2 linked regions of the Arabidopsis thaliana genome follow. The protein of the gene in region 2 interacts with the protein of the main gene of each other region in a biochemical or structural test. Each region holds a gene or a part of one and is shown on either strand. Other genes may lie near its edges.

The links.
Region 1: the proteins of AT1G67720 (region 2) and AT4G39270 form a complex in vitro, tested with the Arabidopsis thaliana proteins (one large-scale study listed by BioGRID).

Annotation. Positions count from the first base shown.
Region 1 is NC_003075.7:18,274,635-18,278,392, reverse strand, and holds the start of AT4G39270 (Leucine-rich repeat protein kinase family protein), read right to left. Parts: upstream 2,083-3,758; 5' UTR 1,520-2,082; coding exon 1-1,519. Other genes in the region: CCR1 (cold, circadian rhythm, and RNA binding 1), read left to right, coding at 3,435-3,542.
Region 2 is NC_003070.9:25,384,384-25,388,141, reverse strand, and holds the start of AT1G67720 (Leucine-rich repeat protein kinase family protein), read right to left. Parts: upstream 2,012-3,758; 5' UTR 1,649-2,011; coding exon 1,576-1,648; intron 1,271-1,575; coding exon 733-1,270; intron 643-732; coding exon 131-642; intron 3-130; coding exon 1-2.

The DNA of each region.
Region 1 (3,758 bases), on a different chromosome or scaffold from region 2:
TCAGGTTTGAATCACTGAACTCCTTGGTGGCATTGAGCAACTGCTGATAGGTAAATGATGATCCAAGACTCCCAAAGTTTATAGAGACTCCTCCTCTTGAGGGAAGTGTTTCATCAGGAGGTAATGGGCCAACACCGTTGTGTCTTCCTCTAGGATGATTACTTGTTGATGATCTGTTTCTTCGACGGACACAGAAACTCACTGTTATTGGTAACACTATGAGAATGAGCATAAGCAATATAGACCCTCCAACTGCAGCAAGTATAACTATTTTCGTGTGGCTTAACCAGGAAGTTTTAGAACTCTTCTTCTCTTCATGTTGTCCGAAATTGTTGAAAGTTAAGCCCTTTTTTGAATAAAACAAAGTGCAATCCGACAACTTCCGCTGCTTCTCTGGGCCCTGAAGACAATTGTTGCTCAATGAAGCTCTGGTTGGCACAAAGTCAGGAATTTTACCTTCAAAATAGTTTTCTGACAGGTCAACAACTTGGAACCTTGTCAGTAAAAGTGTGAGATTGCCGTAAAACATGTTCCCGGATATGTTAAGCATGGAGACAGTAGAATCAAAACTGACAGTGGTATTAGGCAGCATGTCAGAGAAGTGATTTCCAGAAATATCTAGAAACTTGAGCTCCGGTAACGACCATAACCTGGACGGTAAAGCGCCTATGAAACCACTGCCTCTGAAGTCAATGATCTGAAGTTTACTCAGCAAACTAAACAGATCAGGAGGTAGGGATCCTGAAAGGCGATTTCCCGCAATTACCAATGTCTGCAAGTTCCTTAGCCCTTTCAAATCTGATGGAACCGAACCTGACATTCCGTTGAAGCTGAGATCAAGGTCAATTAAAACAGAGAGGTCTCCGAGTGATGGAGGTATTGAAGAAGTCAAGGTGTTACGCGAAAGATTCAGACGCTGGAGCTTTGAGAGTGCCCCAATATTAGCAGGAATCGAACCAAACACCGAGTTTGAGGAAAGATCAAGGATTGATAGATTCTGAAGAGAGGTAAGAGACAGAGGAATATCCCCATTGATCGCATTCTTTGAAAGATCAAGAACTTTGAGATGTGATAACCGAGTCAAACTTTCAGGGATGGTTCCTGTGATTGAACAGGAGCTAAGGTCCAACACCTCTAAAGTCAACAGACTCGATCCAAACAAAGCCGGGATTGGACCTGGAAGATAGAACCTTGAGGCGTTGAAGGAAGCTAGACGGGTGAGATTGACGAGAGAACCAACTGAGAATTCCGGGTTTTGATTCCCAATCCTTGTCCTTCTGAACCCTGAAATGTTGATCTTAGTTACTCTACCATTCTGATCACATTTGATGCCGTTCCAGTTCAGACAAGGATTGCCTTTTACAGGCCAATCTCTGCTTCGTAACCCAAGAGAAGACCTTAACAGCAGAAGCGCCGATTTCTCATTCAGAGAACTTGTCTGTTGCTCAAACGTTGACTCTAACAACAAGAGGAGGAATAAGAAGAAGACCAACAAGGATGTCTTCCTCAGAACCACCATGGTTTCTCTAAACCCTGGTGACGACTAGTACTTCGAAAAACTTAAAGCCATTCATTGCCTAAGATTCAATTGGAAAAAAGCTTCGCGATTTATGGAAATAATCAAATCTCTTTTTTTTTTGGGTTTCCTTCGAATCCGATCAATAAAGGAAACTTTCTTTTTGTGATTATTCAACAAAGATATATACTAAAAAAGGTTCTTCACTCTGTTACCTCTGCGACTTTCTCTGGCAATTACTTTTCTCTGTGCACTTCAGAATCAAAAACGATTCATTGTTGTTTACCAATCATTTTCTGCTGCCTCTCTCTCTCTCTAACTCTTCCATGTTTTTTTTTGTCCTAGATTTAGAGAGAGAAAGATGGAAAGTCTGATATAATACGAAACAGATATTTTTATATAATATTTGATAAAAACTTCTTCTTACAGAACTGTTCTGGACAGAGAAAGCTTCAGACTGGTCAAGAACAGCGGCCGTTCGAAGAAAAGAGAAGAAAGTATAAGAAAATAAAAAAAGTGAGAGAAGGTGGATCTTTCGTTGTATACGTGCACGTTCCCAAGATTTATGGTTCGATCTCGTGACCGAGACGCAGATACAGTAATTGAAAGTGAAGTTCTGAATACGGCGTCGTTTGAGGAGTTTGACTCTCAACGATCCCGCCCAAGACAGCTTAACGAACTCTTAAATTAATATCATTTCAAAAATACTTAAAGTTTCTGCTGACGTTTAATATGATAACCACCATTTTAGTAGTTTTGCAAATAAATAATTGAATTCCTAGGAGCTACGATGCTACTCCATTTCTGTAAATTTTGTATGACAATTATTTTTCCTCGTATTAAAACGACCAAAATATACTAATAATAATTGTGGCTTTATTATGAGCAAAATGATTTAGTTGTCACTCTTATAAAAAGTCGACGATACTTTTTCATATTACCTGCGATATATTAATAATCAGATTTCTTAAAAAAATCTTAGCCAGGTTATTTCTTGTTGAAAAAGCTCTTCTACACGCTTTAGTCAGCATTTTCAGCACAAAAATCGAAATCAAGATACTGAACCATTTGTAATTGACTTTGTATAACTACTACATCTTCATTCTTCATCCGTCTAATTTTGGTATACAAAATAATTAATCCTGTAAAAAAATAATATTCAGACAGTCAAAATATTTCAAGTACAGAGCGAGTGTATCCAAATATTCAATGATTGAAAATTGAATTCCATTGAAAGATTTATATGTTCACATATCTGCACATCTAGCTTTCATTTGAATATCACTTAACATACCAAAATATTTGTACAACAAAAAACGTCTATGCTAAAGTTTGGATATTACAGACTGTAACATGTCCACGATGCTATTGCGATAAGAATCTTTTCATATGAATTTATTGCATGTCATAATTAATGACAAAACAAATATGTAAATCCATAGCACATTATCGTCATAGTCTTTGCATATTATTTCATTTTATTGTTTTACTAATTTCGCCGTCAGATTCATTGGGCCGGAAGTTATAATCTTTCCAATTAAATTAGATAGGCCCAATAAACGAAACTCAGACCCAACTATTGTATGACATAATGACGACGAGACGAAGGACAAAATTGTCATTTAAGGAATAAAAGATATTCTTACAAAGATATTTTTTGCTCGAAACGAGGAGAAAAAATCATTAGTTATCGAAAATGCTCACATGATGTGGGCCTAACCACTAACCCAATTAACCACACATCTTAATCAGAGTAAGTTGAAACAAATCTTTCAGCAAACCCTAGAAAACATGTTTAACCCTAGTTATTACGTCACACCTGTTCTATAAATTAAGGCTGCGTCTTATCACCTCAAATCACATAAGTCTCTCTCTTACATTTTGAAACCCTAATTTCTCTTCTTTTCCCCAAAAAAAAATGTCTGAAGTTGAGTACCGGTGCTTTGTCGGCGGCCTTGCCTGGGCCACCAATGATGAAGATCTTCAAAGGACGTTCTCACAGTTCGGCGACGTTATCGATTCTAAGGTCTGTTACACGAGAGATCGGTCTCCCGGATCGAGCCGATTCCGATGATTCTGATCCTCGACGGATCTGATTCCGATCTGTTTCTCTGTTACTTGATTCGATTACTGTTACTATGTTCTCTCTCGTTCTTTGTTACTGTTACTTAATTTGTCCCATCGGTACGTTCATCTTCCTGCTTCTATGAGCTCGGAGATCGATCGATTTTTGCTTTATATT
Region 2 (3,758 bases):
CACTGCAGGATTAGAAAACTTCTGTAAACTCTTTATCAACAAATTTTGATTTGCACATTTCCAGCAGCATCATAGACGGGAAAAGATTCATAGAAGAATTTACAAGGTAGTAGTAGCCTCTAGTACTCACCGTCACTCCTATCAGTTTTCACGGATATTGGTAGATACTTGCTAATTTCAATTGCATTTAGGAGTGGCCCTTGCGTAGAATCCTTAGTCTTCCCAAATGAGAACGTCAAAACAAAATCCAAAGTCACATTCATATAGCTAGGTTCATAGAGAGTATAGCTCCCATTGGCATTCTCGGCAATGTTCACCACTGCATTACTATAGTCAGGAAAGTATGGCTGCACCAACTTAAATTTCCGGGTCTCGTTAGCACCAAGTTCTTCAATTTCAGCAAAATAAGCATACGCACGAGCATTGGCAGGGAAGTCTTCCAGGTTCAATCTATAGCTGATCAGTCCTTGTGTGCCAACTACTGCTGTTTGCATGACTTTCATAGGCGGATACTCTCTAGTCAACGTATTTATAGTCTTTGACGTATTGATTCTTGTCGTTCCAGGAGCCACACCAACAAGATAGTTTGGCCGTTTGTTAATATCTGACTCCCAGATTCTGTCATATGGATCATCTGGGTACCTAAAAGAGAAAGTCTTTGAGTATTTTTGGATGTCTGTCAACATTCTTGTGAATGATATAATGGAAAGAAGAGTTTTAATAGGGTTTTACCTCAAGGCATCCATGTTCGGAGCACCAAAATTCACTCTGGCAGCAACCTTCAAGAAGAAATTATCCTCGTAGTCAGTGGCATACATCGAAAGGTTCAACGGGCGAAGCTCAAGAGTGGACATGAAAGGAGAACCGGTGATAGCACAGCATACACAAACATCCACATAACTTGAAGTTGCCCTTACGATCAACTCCTCAACATAAACCCTAGAGACCTCCTGAATCGTCACAGTAGCCCATTTCGTTGCATCCAAGTAAAGTTGAAACTTTGGGTAGGCTTCCTCACTACCCAAACCACCATAAAGAAATGTAGTTCTGACAATGTATCGCCTTCTCTCTTTGGTACTGAGTCTGTAACAATACTTCTTATTGTCAGTTGGGAAATCTCTTCTCCTACGGTATTGCATCGAGTTCCAATTGGTATTGGCCAAAGTTACTGGCTTGCCCTGTTTGATGATCTCTGAATCTGAAACCCATCCTAGTCCAGTTCTTGGGTCTGTGTAGTTACTTGAGCAACCACAATCTATACTTACAAACTCTGCAAATATAGCCACTCAATCAAAATTTCATCCATTTCCCACTAACTACAATAAAACGCATGACAAGAGAATCTTAGTATTCCCCTACTCTTCAATCCCATTACACCATAAATTGAACATTTTTAACCATAAATAGTCTAAAATTGAAGACTTCAACGCAAATAAGAACAAAAATTTGTGATTGAACATCAAAAAACAAGTTAAAGAACACATCAAGAACAAGAATTTCCACACACACACACAGACACACACAAATAAACACTCATTGAAGCATTTAAACAAACAGATTATGTGCCATAAGTACCTGTAACTTGAGACAGAACAAAAGGTACTAGGAACAAACATGTTACAGCCAATTGAGCTAAGCATAAACCCATTGAAGATCACACACACATCGATGGCTCTTAAATCTCTATAATTCAATGCAAAAATACCAAGTTCTTTTCGGCTTTGAAAGTGGTCACGAGATAAAGAAGGAAAGCGTGTGATGAGAGACAGTGAAGTGAACAAAGACTCCAACTTTGTTAATTGCTTTTACTAAAAAAAGTCGAGTTCTTTGCAATGGTCACATAGAATTTGTCTTTCTTTATTTGAGATTCGAATTAGCTTTTTCTTTTTCTTCATTCCTGAAAATTTAAAGCTATCAGTTTCACCTTTTATGCTTTGGCTACTTGCTTTTGGAAAAAGTTGGTGTCGCACACAATTTCTCGAAAGCTTTAATTCAAGCTGTACTACAACACTACAGCCTACAGGTATGTGTGTTTGTTTTTTTGTTTCCCTCTTTAAAACCCATTGGGCCGCATTTCTAAAACGGAAGTGTAATAAGGCCTAATTATTAGCAGGTTATAGCATTAGGTCTATACTACATAACTAATAGGCCCATTTTCAATAATCTACTCTATCATATTTTCTCCATATACAGTATAAGTATGAAAATGAACTTAATCTTTAAATTGAGAAAATACAAATCCATTCCCAATTGGGGACTGTTATCTGCATGAGTTACTTATTTCGAAGAGTTTTTTCTTTTCTAAAATAATGTTATATGAAACAATGTACAGTATATAGTTTTGATTCGACCAAAAAAGTGTATGTAGTTTTGTTTTTGTTTTTATTAATATAGGGTTAAAAGATAGATTATGCAAGAAAAATGGTTTATAAATTGTTTAATATTCTTTTTAACACATAGTATTTCAGTTTGTTTTTTATGTGATATACAAAGACAATAAGTTCAGCATATGTTATTGACAAATTGCACAATTGCAACATTCAGCATCTTCCTTAAAGTTAACAAAGAGAGTAAAGTGAAGGTTTAATCCAAAATATGAATATTATTGTTAAATGAAAAGCTACGGAAAAGGTAAGGATCGAATGAGATTTATGTGTATAGATTGTGTGTAAGAATTAAAATATTGGTGTCATTTGTCAATTTATATATGGCGCACAACCATTATATTACTAAATACTATTAAGGTGTCGGACACAAAATTATATATATCACCAATCAAAAAAATAATGTTTTAGTTTTAAAACTTTGTGATCGACTTTTAGAATATATATATTCAAAAAAAACCACAAACATTATGTTTTGGAAAAGCTCCTACAAGTTTAATATAAAAAGATAGTTCTTCCTGCCAAATTTTCGACATCTGCATTGTGTTTGCTTCTCGTGAATGTGGACGATACACTGAACAAGAGATAAACATGTACCACGTAAAGGACAATCCTTTGTCGTTTAATTAATCTCCGACACTTAAGTCAAGAGAAAGTTATGAAAGACACCCAACAAATTTTTATGTGTTTAGGTGAGTTTTATGAGTATGGAGTATTAATATTCTCCTAAGATTGGGGATCCGATTATGATAGATTTTGTATAAAGTGTATAATGTTTTATTCGTAGTCATATATTTACCGGTTTCATACACGGGATGGATAAGCACACTAGCGTCTATAATATCACTACAAGAACGAACATGTTAGATGAATCAAATAATTATGTGTTTTGTACCATGCCGAGAGGGGTGCATAACAAGTCTCATTGCTCACCAGTATCTTGATAGATGACTGATGCGTTAGCCACTCCTGCTTTTACTAATTCTAGGGCCTCTAAGATGAATTAGTATTCAAGATCAAGTATTTAGAGATCTCTCGTGGACTTGACAGACGAAATCTATTCCAATATTATTTAAAACTTTTAGTATTTATTACTAATTTTGATTTTAAAAAAACCTTTGATATGAAATTTGAGTGATAATGGTATGTTTTTATTTTATTTTAATGGTTTTGGAAATTAAGAGAGAATTTTAAGTATTTTTATAAAACAATATCACTATATTACGCATTTTCACACTTCTATATTGAATTTACCAACATATTTACATATGAGTTTCGGAGTGGAAAGTATTATAATTCTAAATTTTTTATTTAAGTTCTATTATCAACCTCAAAGTAAACAATATCGATCAAAGTTTCGTATATTGCTTGCTA